Alligator mississippiensis: one gene and its partner. Each later gene encodes a partner of the first gene's protein in a complex. Links are inferred from orthologs where the notes say so. Each region holds a gene or a part of one and is shown in the gene's direction. Other genes may lie near its edges. The genes, in order: ANP32A and NME1.

Region 1 (8,099 bases):
AACACAGCAGCCAGAGGCAGCATGAGTTGCATATTAAAGAGAATGAATGGGAGCAGCCTCAGACTGAGAAGCTAGTATGTATGACACTATCGCTTTATGCTGTATATTCAGTCCAGCATCGCTGAGTAACAGAAAACTGGATCTCTCTCCTGGTGGCAAGCTGAGATGCTATTATGCAAGGCACACCAAATCATGCTCTGACACTGGAGTAAGAGACTGCCTTGCTCCGGGTTTGGCAAGGTGTGGCAGAAGTACTGCAAACCCTGCACAAAATCCAACAGTACAGTGCCCATGTCCCAGTAAAGCGATTGCTAAACCTCAGTTCGCACTCTTGTTAGATTGTGAAGACCCAGGTACACTTAATACACTTTACAGACTATGTGCTCACAGGAAACATTATCACAAGTATACACTAGCAAAGGCAATATGAGGAAGTAACTTTTTTGTTGCAATCTTTGGTGTAAAATGGAAACTTTCTGCACATTATATTGCAAAAAGCAGTTTCTCGGCTAGTCCCTACCATTAAAGAGATGTTTTACCTGTTGTTTTGGGGTTACATGTATTTAATAATAGTTTGCATTAATAAATCTTTCCACCCCATGTCTCAAAATACTCCATATGCATTACTGAATTACCTTTGCCACTCCCCTGGGCAGTTGTTATCCCATTTCACATCTGGGGGAAAATGAGGCACAGAGCTTAACTTTCCCCTAAGGGTAAATAGGAAGCCTGCGATAGAATAAAAAATAGGACTGACCTGAAACGATCCTTCCTGTTACTCTTGTGCGCAAGATGACTCCAAATTTGTATCAGATTTTATTCTTTTTGCACTAGATGGATTTTCATTTTGCTTTCTTTATATCGCAGAGAGTAAAGCCTTTTCATAGACTTTTCAGAGTAAAGTTTAATTTCCTGACTCAATTCCTTTCCATTCCACTACTCAGGCTCAGTATGCTCTCCACTATGAGTACACTCATTTTTCTTGATTCAGCCCATGATTCTGCTCATGCACTGAATAGTTGGTTGGAAGACAACAACAAGCTGGTCCATTATCAGTCGCAGTGTTATTTTTATATGGATATTTCTATGCTGCTTGTTTCTTTGAACTAGCAAAAAATTGCCACGACACAACTTGGTTTGTACTGCTGTGAACAAGCTCCTCTGTCACTTCTTGTCTGAGTTTCCCTGTTTATATTAGCTATTACTCCAAACATAATTTTTTTAACATAATTTGGAATACTAGAGATCTGGTTATGCAGCCAGTGTTTGCAAACAACTTGCAATGAAATCAAAGGGAATTGTTCATGTACAACTACCACCATGTATCTGCAGGTCCCAGGAGTCTTAGGAGTAAAAAAAAGAAAAAAGAAAAAAAAAGACATATTTCTCATTTGTCGTGAACTAATATAACTCAGGTCATTTTATTTATTACAAAACACAATTCTGGACAAAGCACCAAATCAGAACAAACCTGAAGCTTGGATCTAGATCTAATCTTTCTCACTCCTGGGTAACCTAGGATAGATAGACACAAGGGTGAAAGCCATTAACACTAGCCTCCAGCCATCGTCCTCACTACCCCTTCCCTTTTTTCTTCTTCCAAAAGATTTTAAGCACTGGACTTTTAAGAGGCCAGGAGACCTGAACTCACTGCTGCAGGCACAGTAAAGATCTATTAGGTTTAAGCAGCAACTGAAAGCACACATACTTCACAAAATTAAAGAAACAAGGAGTGCACTCGAGAGTTTTGGAGCACAGCAGGGGAAACCAGGCTGCTAGAATCAATTTTTAGACATTAATTAGTATTTGTTATCCTCTGCCCATGTAGTTACTGACAGATTCCTCTGTAGCTAAGGAAAAATACAATAATATGGGCAATCATACAGATGAAGTAGAGGCACAGGTTACACACTGGGTGAAATGTTTATCAGCAAAGACTCTTGCACCCACAGTATTAACTGTTCACTGTATTTGGAAAACAATGGCATACCAATAGAAATTTTGGAGTATTTTCACCTTCCCACAGAAAATAAATTAATGATTGGCTCAACTTCCTGTCATTACTATACAAGGACTCTGGTCACACCCCATGCTTAGTTTCTCTAAACCTGCAAGATCCCATAAAACTCATAAGAAAGCAATACTTTGAGGTTGATAACAATATATCTAACGTAAGATGGATCTGGCAATCATATTCAGGGAAATGCCTACTGAAATAGCCCTGTTAAGGTGGTATTTTGTAATCACTTGAAATAAACACTATCTTTCCGCATTACGAAGAGAACAAAATTATGTCTTTATTAATTTAAACAATATAATCACGCATATGTTATTTTAAGTCTTCTCTTGTGTTGTAAAAGGGATCGATATCACACAAACCACGTTACAGTGATGACACAAAAATGTAATTTGTTTACAAAACTGTATCTACCCACGACAATCATCTGAAATGCATTAACAGTTGTGAAGCGTGGCTCTCGTGTTTGGGCGCTTTTTCTCTGCTGGGAGAAACAATGCCAAATCCATAAATATGTACTCTGATTTTCAACTTATGGAGGATTGGGCGGGGGGAGCTATATATATATATTAGTTTGTCCACCCCCCATAGATATATTGATTCCTAGATAGATAAACAGATAGAAATGGAAACATTTCCATGTGTATTTTCTTCAAAATATTGGTGTGATCTCACCTATAGAGGATGTATATGTATCATTCATTTTAAGAAGCATTTTTTTAATGTTATACAAGCGAACAAAAACAAAGCTAAACTTTATTGCACAAGTCTTTCATTTGGATGAAAGTGAAGGAAAAATATTTATATTACTCAGAAACCTTTTTTACAATACAACTCTACTTAAGGCCATTACACTTATTCCCACGGTAAACGCGACTTTCCCGAGGCGTTCAGCTCCACTGTTCACACTCAATCCAGGCCAAAATTGTGCATTTGTTTTTTTCTACAGAGCCAGTTTTGCCTGCACGTGAAAAGGACGTGCTACTTTTAAACTAAAATTCACTCACGTACCCAGGAACCTTAAAAATGTTTTACAAACATTACTTTTTATTTTTTTTTTTTGCCAATTTACTTAATTTTGGTCTTAGTGGAACGTGCAGCAGAAGTAAATAAAAATGACCCATCCAAGGGTCAGACGGAGTCAGAAGCAGGGCCAAAATAAGAAGTCAGGCATCTAGGCTCTGATCTACTGTTTAGAAGACGAGACCATCTGTAGGAAACGAGCAACTATCTTTTTGATCGCCTTCGAGACACTTCTGCTACCAATTATCAATTGACTGTTGGGGGGGGGTGTTTTTGAGTATTTTTCAACATAACTTGGCTCCCACTTCTCCCAGGAAATGTACATGGGGGTCACCACTGAAGTGCCTTACCTTGCCCGTCGCTCACCGTTTTGCACACCCGTGCACAACGAAGCGCTAGAGGCCGTGACTGCGCTGCCCACCGCCACCCCCCCACCCCCCGTGACACAGCCCGGCGCGGGCCGACCGGACACCTCGCGGGCGAGCCTCGGACCCTGCCACACGGCCAGCACGGAGCTCACCTCAGACTAGATCACCTGAGGGAGGTCACCTCAGAGTAGGTCACCTGAGGGAGGTCACCTCAGAGTAGATCACCTCAGAGCAGATCACCCAGGGGAGGTCACCTTGGAGTAGATCACTGCAGGGAGGTCACCTCAGGCTAGGTCACCTGAGGGAGGTCACCTGAGAGTAGATCACCTCAGAGTAGATCACCCGGGGGAGGTCACCTTGGAGTAGATCACCTCAGGGAGGTCACCTCAGTAGATCACCTCAGAGCAGATCACCCGGGGAAGGTCACCTTGGAGTAGATCACTGCAGGGAGGTCACCTCAGGCTAGGTCACCTGAGGGAGGTCACCTGAGAGTAGATCACCTCAGAGTAGATCACCCGGGGGAGGTCACCTTGGAGTAGATCACCTCAGGGAGGTCACCTCAGACTAGGTCACCTGAGGGAGGTCACCTCAGAGTAGATCACCTCAGAGTAGATCACCTCAGAGTAGGTCACCTGAGGGAGGTCACCTCAGAGTAGGTCACCTCAGAGTAGGTCGCCTGAGGGAGGTCGCCTGAGGGAGGTCACCCCAGGGTAGATTGCCTCAAGGAGGTCACCTCAGAGTAGATCGCCTCAGAGTAGATCACCTCAGAGTAAGTCACGTCGGAGTAGATCACCTCAAGGAGGTCACCCCGGAGTAGATCGCCTGAGAGGTCGCCTCAGAGTAGATCCCCAGCCCCTTCATAGGCCAGGAGGGAGATCACCTCAGGGTGGATCCGCGCCCTCCCCCACGCGCGCGAGGCGGCGCCCCCTCTCCTTCCCCCCCACCCCCGCGCGAGCGCCCCCCTCACGCGCGCCACGAGTGTCCGCACGGCCCCGGGGGGCGGAGGCGGGGCGGGGGCGGGGCGGGGGCTCCCGCGGGCGCGGGCGGCTCCGCGCCCGTCCGCCAGCAGCGCGGAATGCCCGTCGCGCGCCCGCCCGCCCGGCGCCGGCCCGGCCTCGCCTCTGCCGCCATTGGCCGGCGCCGCCCCTCGGCGCGCCGCATTGGCCGGCGCCGCCGGCTCGGGCGCGCCCATTGGCGGGCGCGGCCGCCCGTCCCCTCCGAGTCCCCACGGCAGCGCCCGCCCCCGCAGCCATCAGGTTGGGGTGTCCGCCGCGGGGTGGTGGGCTCGGGGATCCCGAGCGGAGCTGGTTGCGCGCTCACAGTCCCTGGCCGCGCTGGCGTTGGGGGGGTCCGCCTGGGTGTCACTGCACGCGACGAGCCGGGCCAGCCACGGACATGGACATGAAGAAAAGGATCCACTTAGAGCTGCGGAACAGGACGCCCTCGGATGTAAGCCATGCATGCATGCATGCAAAAAAAAAAAAAAAAAAAATCGAAACCCCCCCCTCTCTCCCCTTTTTTTGCGGGAGGGGGGGCGCATTGCAAAGCGAGGGGTGCCCCATGCCCTGCCAGCACCCCCCGGCGTGCACCCCTGCATGCACGCCTGGGGAGGGGAGGAGGGGGGGCAGCCCGATGCTGCATTTGGAGGGGCTGCAAGAAAAGACAAGTTGCTGCCCCTCTCCGGCTGGGCTTAATTTTTTTATTTTTTTTTTTTTGGTGTGTGTTGTTGTGTGGTGGTGTTTTGTTTTGTTTTGTGTGTGTGTGTTGTGTGTGTGTTTTCTTTTTTTTTTTTTTTGCTTTGCAAAAGGTTTGCAGCGGGTGCTGGCCCGGGGAGGGACTTGGGAAGGGCCGGGAGTTTAAAGTGCGCCTTCATTTCTTTGCAGTGATCAGGCAGGAGAGACTGGGGAGCCATATTTGTAACTTTGTAGTCCTCATGAACGCGCCCTTTCTCTCTCCCTGCCTCTCTCCAGATGCTTGCCAGACCCCAAACGCCCCGGGTTTTTAAAGACAAAAGCAGCCGGGTTGAGCTGCCCGCCCAGCAGACACGCTCCTGGGGGGCGAGAGGGCAGAGGAAAGCGGCGCAATCCCCCTCGGCCGGGCGGGCGGGCGGGCGCTCTCCGTGCACACACACACACACACACGCACAAAAAGGCGGTGTGGGTTTTTTGCAGCTCGGGGTTGGACTTTGCTGGGTGGTTCAGCTGAATAAACGGGGACAAGAAACTTTGTCAGGACGAAAATAGTCCCCGAGTGGCTGCGTACCAATGATGCGGAGGGGGGGAACCCCCCCCAAACCCCCTCCCTAATCATCTCTGTGCTTTTTTTGTTGTTGTTGCTTTTTGCGTTGTAAGAGAGAGGCACAGCAAAGTTGGGAGGACCCCCCCTCCTCTTCCTCGCCTCTTGCCCGATGCACCCCAGGACCAAGGAGGGGTGCACCCCTTCCTGGGGGAGGGGGGGGCGGACCGGAGTGCAACCCCCCCAGCAATTGGGGGTCCGCCTCCCGGGTCCCACATGGGGCTGATTTGGGGAGGAGAGGTCATTACATAATGGCTTAAATAACAGCGCGGTGGGTCGGGGGGGGGGAAGCGGGGAGGATTCAGGTCGTCCCCCCCACAACCACCCTCCTTGTGCCACAAGGGCAGGGGGGAGCTGGGCAGCAGGATGCTCGGTGCAACCTGCGCTTTAAAGTTGCAAAAAGTCCAGGGCGGGGGGGAGCCGGGCCGAGCCCGGGGCTCGCGGTTGCGGGCGCCCGGGGACAAAGGGGCGAAGCCGGGGAGCTGAAATGCAACCCCCCTCCCGCCCTCCCAACTTTGCATCCCCGCCTGGGCAGGCCGCGGTGCAGCCCAAGTAGGACAAGGCGCCATGTTGTTGGGGGTTTTTTGGGGGGGGTCTTCCCCCTGTCGAGCTCGGAAGGAGAAAGGGGGGTGGGCAGGGGGGGCTGCCTCGGTGCAAACGCGCCCGGGCTGCTCTCGGGGGGGGGGGGGGGGGGTATGTGCAAGCGGCGGTGTGCGTGCATGCAAGGGGGGGGGGGGGGTGGTTTTAATCCTCGCCGGCGCAAAAGTTTCTCCCGATCCGCCCTGCCCTGCTGGCGAAGCCCTTTGTGGCGGCGCCCGGGTGCGGGGCGGCTTGTGCACGCGTGTGCAAGGCAGAGCGCGCGTGCAACATGACTGCCAGCGCTCAGGTCTGCCATTTTGTCACTGTTGTCGCGGAGTTGGAAGGGGAGGAGGCGGCGGGGGGAGGGGGAGGAACAAGCCAAGAAGACAAAAAGCTTTTTTTTTTTTTTTCTTTTAAATCCCCCCCCTCCTCCTTTTATCCTTTTTGATGATTTAAACAGAAAAGCGGGGTCCCGATCCCCGGAGTGGAGTGAGCTGGGCTGGCGGTGGCAGGGGGCTTGCTTTCCCTGGCAGCTGGCAGGAGCCTGTGTCTTTAAATCGAACGTTGGTACCTCGAAATGGAACGTCGCGGTCGCCAGCGTTCCATGCGGCTGCAACATTCCGAGGGGCGGCTCGAGCCTCCCCCCACTGCGCAGCGATGCTGGTGGATGGGCGCGGGGTTGTTATCCAGGCCCCACAGTGCTCCAGGGGGGACAGAGGAGGTCGTTTGCGTCATGCAGGGTTTTCGGGGGGGTCGGGTGGGGGGGAGTGATGATCCAAAATGCCTGCTGCAGCTTCCCAAGGCAGGGAGCGCATTATCGATGAGTGGGGAAGACGCCTTCTTCCTGGGCAGGGCCCTCCGGGAAGGTAGGTCTCTGGTGTGTGTGTGTGTGTGTGTGTGTGTGTGTGTGTGTGTGTGTGTGTGTTAATGGATTAATATCAGGGCTGCACCCCATTTTCAGCAGGGGCAGATTTTAGGATTTGATCCAAATGGGGACGTCTAAGAGGCAGGGGTTGTTTTGGTTTTTTTTAATATCCATTTATTTATTTATTTATTTATTTTGGTTAACTTCCTCCTCCTGGTTTGGATTGTTGCAAAGTCCAATTTTAAAAGACTTATTTTGCGCAGCAGCGTTGGCGGGGACGTCTTTAATTTGGATCTGTTTTGGAGCGAGACGTGCCGCCTGGACCGCTCTGTTCTTAAGATATAAGTGCCACCTTGTTTCACCTGCTCAGTCTTCGATTCGGTGAATTACCCCACCGCAGAGCAACTGCCGTGCTTCCGAAACGCAGCATTTCACCGTGCGCTTTTGCTTTGCCCTTCTGCAGGTTATTAAAGGGGGGAAATGCCGTTCAGGATTGCTGTTTTGTAATGCGGAATTTGGGTGGTGATGGATGCACACATGCGCCTTCTGATCTGGAGGAAGGAAGTGTACAGCTTGGGTCCTAGGCAGGCAAACTTCTTTGAGTAGATGTGATATCTTTTATTAGACCTCTTTAAAATGCCCCCTCACATTAGGGTTAGTTTATTGGTCCTTGTAGGGTTTGCACTTTTTAAAAGTTTACCCGTTATCCACCATTTTAGACGGATTTTACTGGACACTTCATCATTAATTCTTTTTTCTGTGAGGTCCTCCTTGCTTAGGTAAAGATGATGCAGTGTGGTTAGGAAGTAACTGGCAGATGCATGGTTCCCACTACTCTTTAACCTTTGGGTTTTGTTTTGGGTTTTTGGGTGGTTTTTTTGTTCTGCTGAGAGTGTTGTTTTTAAAGCCCCATGAAGAAATGTATTCCAGTAAGAAAATTAGCTTTCACAGT
Region 2 (8,066 bases), on another chromosome or scaffold:
GTTAGACATTGCCTCCCTTTTTCATTTTCCATGTCCAATTAATCTACACATCAAACCCATTTAGTACAAAGCCAGAAGCTGTCTAATTCCCTTTCCCCACCTGCAAAAATGGTAGGCATGGATTAAGTGTTAAGTTTCAAGAGTTGCTTAGTTTCATAAGCAAATTGACAAGTCTGTAAAGCCCAAATACAGGATAAACCACTGAGCTCAACAGTAAAATTGCTTGCTGTTGCTGCATATTGTTTTAGAAGCCCAGAAGTACCATCAAGTCAGATTGTGGCTCCCACAGGAGCGCACAGGGCTACATTTGGGCTTGGGTAGTTAGCAGAAGATTGTTATGGGAATTTGAACAAGAACAACTGGAAGTGTATTACTAAATAAAATACACTAGCCTGCCAATGGCTTCCTTTTTCTGGTTCTAGTACAAGGAACCTCAGAAATGGGCTTTTAGCAACCAGTTTTCCCAACAGTCACCTTGTAAAAATAAATTACTTAAGACACGGGCAAAATATCCAGCTCTCCCCCATCCTCAGTTTTCAGATCACACGACAAGAGTGAACATTCATGACTGTTGATCAACTTATGCAGATGACTTCTTCCCGATTTGGAAAACTGCTCACGTGCATCATTCACTGAAAGAACGATGAGCAGCTACAGAGCATTCAAAAAGTTAACAGAATTTTACTTCTTATTTTTGAAGACTGACACTGAAATAACCCTACAATCATAACTTCCACAACATTGCACACTACCACTAAGAAAAAGAAAAATGGAGCATGCAGGTTTAAGAACAGTTAAGCAAAGAATGTTCCAAACTATGAAACGTGAATATTAATCATGAGACTACTGCAAAATCACAATTCCTAAATGCTCATTATAAGAGAGAAGAATCATTTAGAGTAGTCCAAGTACGACAGTAGTCCTTTATTAGGACCCCTTTACTATCACAGAGAGGAAACAACTATTTACCACTGGTTGTTTACTCAAAAAGGTCAAAAACACCATTTTAGCCACCATTTTACATAAAACACTGTGCCTGTTGTAAAACTAATACTGCAAACCTGAAACTCATGTTTTCCCCCTTCATTTGAGTCCTGGCTGGTGCAGAATTGTTACGACAGCTCATATTCCAACCAAATTTTCAGAAGGTAAGCGCAATGAAAGAATCTAAAAACCACACTTAGATTTTATGACCATTAAGTTTTCATGCATGTATCTGAAAACTGGACAACTGTAAGTAACTTGAATACAGTGACTGTACAAGGCATACTAACTGAAGGAACAACAGTGCTCGCATGCAGAAGCTAGGTCTTTGAGGGAATGGACATTACGTACTTTTTCTTTTTTAAAAACAAGTGTAAAAAAGAGGAACAAACACCATGCAGTCCTACACCAGTATACCTTCTGAAACTGGATAGAAAATTACCCAAGGAAAAAACCAGGGGCAAAACTACGCTGATGTAAGTGTCATGCGTCTGCAGCTTATCTCAGGGTGTCAGGTCTGCCCAGAGCAAACAAACCACTATCTGCTCCACCACAATCTAGTTGCAGGGCACTGTAATGACTGTGTACTGCATGGAAATAACCACATAGGTCAGACTGCTCTGCAGCCCAGTACATTTAACAGTGTACTCCACTTCTGTGCATACTGGATCAGTGTAAAATTCATTTTACTGGTTAGCTTAAGAAAAACATGAGCTTGACATTGTGCTATCTGCATATCATCCAAGTACTTACACTAGTGAAGCATAAAGAACCTTTCAGACAAAACTACCTACTCGGTGATGTAATTATACTCTGTTTAACTGCATAATTAGCACCAGACACAACAATGGGAAAGCAACCATCAAGGGGCTGATATTAGAAGACTTGAAAATGACAGTATTTAGTCAGGTTCAGGGGTGCTGATACAGCAAGGACAGAATTCAATATTTAAGGAGCTCCGTTGACAGGCTATAACTTTAAACGGGGTATGCCATATATCTACGTATCAAACAGCTGTAAATTACATTGGTGGAAAGAAGTTATGTCCATTCCCTAAGCTAGTTATAGTTTCTGAGACTCCTAACAAGTTCTGCTGAAGCAACTAGGCAGCAAATCTAGTCCAGTTAATAAATCGGTAGAAATAGATCGTGAAGCAATTAAGTTACCACAAGAGTTGCAGAAATACCTACAGATCTGCAACTTCTCAAGAGTCCAAGAGCACTGATACAACTAATAGCATCATATTTTGTAGGGGTGTGCAAAGCTGGCCGTATTCAATTCAAATTCAACCCGAATCGGGGACAGTGATTCAATTTCTTGATTCAGACTGCTGTCCCTGATTCGATTCGGCCAAACCCAAAGATTCAATGCTGATTTGGAGTCAGCGATTCAGCCACAGACGCAGCTTTAAATGTTTTTTGTACATACTTTGAGGTACCAGGCCTGACTCGTGAGCGTTGCAATGCTGGGGCAGATGGAGCGTCCCGCACAGGAGCATGGGGAGGCACCCCTGCATGCTCAGCAACGAACCCAGAAGCGGACTGGAAGTACTGAGTGCACAGGGGCCCCCCCCACAGCTTGGTGATCGGGTTTGGGGGGACCCCAGGTGTGCCCCCCAGACCCAGGAGGCACTAGTTATTGAGCTGGAGGAGGACGCAGGGGGGGCCCCCCTGCATGCTCCCTGACAGGCCCAGAAGTGCTTCTGGTTCACTTCCACGTCTGCTGCCAAACGCACTGGGGAGTCCCCTGCGCTCTTACAAGACACTCTGCCCGCCCCAGCATCGCAGCACTCACGACCCGCCTGGTATCTCGAGGTATGTAGGAAAAAAACATTTAAAGCTATGCCTATGGCTGAATTGTCGAATCTTTCCAAATCTCTCTGAATCGATTAAAGGGTCTTCCGATTCGATTTGGATTCGGAGATTTGGCCACTGAATCTCCACTGAGACTATTAGTCTTCTTATGGATTTGGACACGCAAACTCGACTAAAATCTTCAGGGAAAAAGATGGGCATAGTCAGTGTCCTGGGAGAAAGAAATTTAAAGCCCCAAATGATAGTGTAAGAATACAAAATGATGATGTTCTGATGCAAGGGCAGCTTTCCTGTTTTCCTCCCTCCAAGACTATGTGAATTTGAATGAATGACCTTGTAACGCCCACACGGGCGGCTTACTGTCATCAGCCAAGTACCAGTCTTGAGCAACCTGCATTACCTGTTGCTCAGCTGAAGCGTCCCATTCCCTGGCCCTTGAGCTTTCCACAGGGACAAACCCTTGCTGCTTCTGTCCAGGCCACAACGCAGCGCCACGTCCCAGGCCGGCCGCCCCGGCCACTCACAAGTAACAGCCCCAAGTCCCCCCAAGCTCCTCAACCTCCATGCATTTGCCGAAGGGGGAAGCGGGCGCTGGGGAAGTCCTTAATGCCTGGCTCCCTGGTCTGCCCTGCCAGCAGCATCGCTAAGTGAGAAGGAAACCAGCTGTGGGGTGGAGGAGCCAGGACGAGGAGAGGGGCGAGGGGAGCCGACCTCGAAAGTCACAGGAAGAGAAAGAGGGAAAGGACCGGGAAGGGCCATGGGGCTTCTCTGCCAGTGCTAGGAGGAGGCCGGGTGGCTTGGGCACCCGGAGGGGAGGCAGCGGAGGCCACAGGGCTGCCAGAGGGTGCTGCAAGGGAAACTGCCTGGGGAGGCAATAAAGGGGGGGCACAATGAGCGGGGCAATGAAGGGAGGGATAGTGAGGGGGGCAATGAAGGGAGGGGTAATGAGGGGGGCAATGAAGGGAGGAGTAATGAGGGGGGCAATGAAGGGAGGAGTAATGAGGGGGGCAATGAAGGGAGGAGTAATGAGGGGGGCAATGAAGGGAGGGGTAATGAGGGGGGAAATGAAGGGAGGGGTAATGAGGGGGGAAATGAAGGGAGGGGTAATGAGGGGGGATAATGAGGGGGGCAATGAAGGGAGGAGTAATGAGGGGGGCAATGAATGGAGGGATAGTGAGCAGGGCAATGAAAGGAGGAATAGTGAGGGGGGCAATGAAGGGAGGGGTAATGAGGGGGGCAATGAAGGAAGGGGTAATGAGGGGGGATAATGAAGGGAGGGGTAAGGAAGGGAGGGGTAATGCGGGGGGCAAGGAAGGGGAGACTGAGGGGGCCGGTCCCCCGCCCCAGGGCAGGCAGGCAGGCAGGCAGGCGGGGCGGGGCGGGCGGGCGGCTCACGCACCTCCTCGGCCTGCTTGCGCAGCGCCTTCTCGCGCTCGTACTGCGTGAGGAGCTGCTCGTTGTCGTCGCGCAGGAGCTCCAGCTCCACGCTGGTCTCCTGGCTGTGCGCGCACACCGAGTCCAGGTTCTCCAGCACGGCCACCACGAGCGGCATCAGCTCGGCCACCACCTCCTCGTCGTAGCGCCCGATGAGGCGCTCGAACTCGCGGTAGATGGAGCCCGCCAGCCCCGACACCCGCTCCGACATCATGGCGGGGCCCGGGCCGCCCGGCTCCTCCTGGTACACCACGCCGTCCGCCAGCTCCATGGCCGCGGCGCTGCCTCGCTCCGGCGGGACGGGACGGGACGGGACGGGACGGGCGGCAGCTCCTGCTCCCTCTGCGGCGGGGCCTCGCCTACCGCGCGGGCGGGGCCGGGCGCGAGGCGGCGGCGCACGGCACTGACCTCACCAGGGCGGGGCGCGGGGCAGTGGCGTCACGGGCGGAGGGGCGCGGGCCGTGACGTCACTGGGGCGGGGCTTAGCCGGGGAGGAGGCGGGGTCGGTGGGCGAGCCGGGGGTGCTCTTGCGAATGTCTCGGGGCGGGAGACGCGTCGTGGAATCCTGGGACACCGCGGGCGATTGTGACGCCACCGAGCCCTGCGGGCCCCGCCCCCCTGCCCTGGCCCGGTGGCTGCGCTGGGGGCGCGGGGCAGGGACGGCTCGTGCCCTGCGCTGCTGCTGCCGCCTCCTGATGACACGTGGAGCATTCACAGGAGGCGCAGGAACCTTGCTTGGGACGAACGGAGTCACCGGCCAGACCTGGGACTAGATTTAAGGGCTCACGGCTCCCAGACCCGTGCTGCGCCCATGGGGCTTGGCCAGCCTCTGAGCACAAAAAGCCCGGCTTCTTCCTGAGGTGTAACAAAGGGATGGGACTGGCCCAGTCCCGGGATCTCCTGGGCGTATACGGACAACATTTCATAGAAGCAGGACGCTGGCTGCTGCGATGTCCCTGCTGCATGTGTGGCAGCTTAGGGGGTTAGGTCTGTGCCGTCAGGGTTGACGGTCCTCTTATGGAGAGGTTAGAATAGATGATGGTTTGTATGGGATGGTTTGGATAGATGACCTCAGGAAGTCCCTTCCAGTCCTACTTCTCTGTGATGCAGTTATCTTGTGCAAGAGTGGGTGATGGTGCCCGAAAGCTTGCTGAGAACTGTTTCCCAACTACTCAGTTGGTCTAATAAAAGATATCACATCTACCCAAAGAACCTTGCCTGCCAGCGTGGGATTAGGGAAGAATCTGTTTAAAAAGGCAAATGAATGGAGCAGTGACAATCTACCACCGGCAATTGTGTTATTTTCCACTGGAGAGCAGCAGAAGCTTACGTTACGCTTTCCTTTGTTTGGCCTGATCCAGAGGCAGTTACTGAACTTAAAATGTGTCTGCATCGTTTGTTTAAATCCACCGAGCTGGTGGGACTGCAGAGAGGGAAACTAGAGGAGGTGCAAGATTGAAAAGAATGTGGCCAAGTGTTTTGAAGATGTAGAAGAGTTATGTTCCTTAAACCAGTACCGTAAACAAGTATGGCCAGCCAAAAAGGAGCCTGAGAGTTAATTAGGAAGTACAGGGGCACACAGCTGACCTGTTTACTAGCCCAAACTGAGGAAAACAAGATGACATTTTCAGTTGTAATCCCATTTTAGGTCTGATTTGGCATGTTTTTCATACATGAAACTTTCAGTTAAGCTGTTGGATCACACCCTTGAATACATATCAGACATGGTCTTTCTTTAGTCTTTGTCCCTGGAGAGATCACCTGCAGCTTTCTTATGTTTCTCTGCCTTTGCTATTTCCTTGGCAAGGGACTGTTGAGAGGAGCTGACTTCCAGGATTTCTCTCATCCTTCAAGTGACCGTTTTACTCATTGCACAGCTGTTCAAACCAGTGGTGACACCCACTTCTCATGGATTTTCTACACGGCTTCACTAAACCTTGCAGGGATATCACTGACGGCAAAGTGGCTCCATTATGCCATCATCCAGACAGTCTTGAAGAGGCACCTTTCTGACTGAGGTGGGGTTTTAACTCCATCCTTGCAACCTTATATAGAAGAAGCGTTTCCTTTTTCACAAAGGAATTATTGTAAGCAAACTGAGATGGCTCTAAGGTGAAAAGGTTGATAAGTTTGAGTTTCTCTAAGTAGGATTTTATTGACAATTATTTTCATCAAATAATGCAAATGCAGAAGTTCCAGACACATATGTATTGCCAGACAGCAAAAATGGGTCACAGTGCTTTGCTGAAAGCCATCAAAGGAGGGGGCTCTCTGAGGACCATCTGTTCTACATCAGCAGTGTTAGTAGAAACAGAACAGAGAGGCTTTCTTTCGTATTGCTGTGGTAGTCCACTAGGACTCCAATCCAGCCAGAGGTTCCCCAGGAACCTACAAGCTAGGGGGATGGCTTTAATAGGCTATGGTCTGCTGACTGTATTATTTCCAGTCCGATGATGTTTCCTTACGTGGATCAGCACATTTAGAAAAACTGTAATCTGAAAGCATGTGTTGCAAGGGGATTTATGTAGGTGCTCATCATATCCTGCCTACTGGCCTGTCACTCTGCTCCTATTTTGTCATATGTACCTTTGAATTGGTTGTGGCCAGGAAGCTGATCATTAGAAACAGAAAAAGATGTTTCCACCCACAGGGATGCATAGCCTTGTTGCTTGCTAAGACATTAAGGAATTTTTATAAATGATCACCCTAGGCCATGTCTACACGTGCATTTACGCTGACTTAAATTTACTATGCAGTAAACTACTAGGGGCACGTCTAGTAACTGTGTGTGTGGACTGACTTGGGACTAAAATTAGTCCCAAGTCCATCCACACACACTGTTACTACGTAGTAAGGCATCTACATGTGCATTACTGTGCAGTAACTGGGGGTAAATTTGATACCTGCATGATGCAGGTATCAAATTTATGCTCAAGTCAGCATAAGTCACCATATTTACTGTGCAGTACAGGCGTGCACATGTAGACACATAGCTATACTGTGCACTAAATGCGCATGTGTAGATGTGCCCCTAGTTAACTAATTAAGCATTAAGGAGTAGGAGGCGCCCTGTCTGTTACTCTGAGATGCTAGGTGGTGTCCAATAAAGGAAAAAGTACAATTCATGCCCTTAGGAATTAATACCGGATAAAATGAGAGTTTGCCAGGTAGTGAGATACAAAATTTTCTCTATCCCTAGAAATGACAGTTTGTTTGAAAATTAAATAGATTTAAAAAAAAATACTGCAGAAGGAAATTAGGCCTCAAATGAGTTTAGGATGAAATTTTAACTGGGACATTACCCAGAGGAGATTATTTGAGTAGAAATCAAATACACCCTAGATGAGAGGGTGTGGTCATGATAACCAAATCATCAACATGCAAAGCTGGTGCAGCTACACATCACAGCTCTCTCAGTCTAATTATAAAGAGAAATATAAACTAAGTTATGAAGCTTGGAACCAGACAGCAATTTTACCCTTGCCTGGGGTTACAGATATATAGGGTTTTAGCTCATACCATGATAAACTTGGGACCAGAGCCACGAATTTAGGGTCCATATCTGCAATTTCCTAAATATTTTTCAGGTGTCCATATTCATGGCTTTGGGTTAGGTCTGTCTTGAAAAATCTCAGGTGGTATACAAACACGCTGGACTCAATCAACAGTTCACTGTTGTATAGCAGAGACATCTCCTTCACACTTCAGCTGTATGTTCTGTACATTTATTGCGCATCCCACAAATCCTTCTTTTATCCTCTCATTTCCCATTAAGAGCTTGCTGGCATATTATAACTTGCTAAAGGTTTGTAAGGGCTTTCCTAATTGAAAAGA

What was found.
Region 2: ANP32A (region 1) and NME1 share a complex: the UniProt entries of both Homo sapiens proteins name them as parts of the SET complex. The link is inferred for Alligator mississippiensis from reciprocal best matches to the Homo sapiens genes ANP32A and NME1.

The regions. Positions count from the first base shown.
Region 1 is NC_081834.1:3,202,905-3,211,003, forward strand, and holds the start of ANP32A (acidic leucine-rich nuclear phosphoprotein 32 family member A), read left to right. Parts: upstream 1-4,661; 5' UTR 4,662-4,803; coding exon 4,804-4,857; intron 4,858-6,556; exon of another isoform or gene 6,557-6,571; coding exon of another isoform or gene 6,572-6,589; intron 6,590-8,099. UniProt on the Homo sapiens protein: Multifunctional protein that is involved in the regulation of many processes including tumor suppression, apoptosis, cell cycle progression or transcription. Promotes apoptosis by favouring the activation of caspase-9/CASP9 and allowing apoptosome formation.
Region 2 is NC_081831.1:10,432,899-10,440,964, reverse strand, and holds the start of NME1 (nucleoside diphosphate kinase A), read left to right. Parts: upstream 1-4,752; 5' UTR 4,753-6,250; intron 6,251-8,066. Other genes in the region: SPAG9 (C-Jun-amino-terminal kinase-interacting protein 4), read right to left, coding at 4,198-4,503. UniProt on the Homo sapiens protein: Major role in the synthesis of nucleoside triphosphates other than ATP. The ATP gamma phosphate is transferred to the NDP beta phosphate via a ping-pong mechanism, using a phosphorylated active-site intermediate.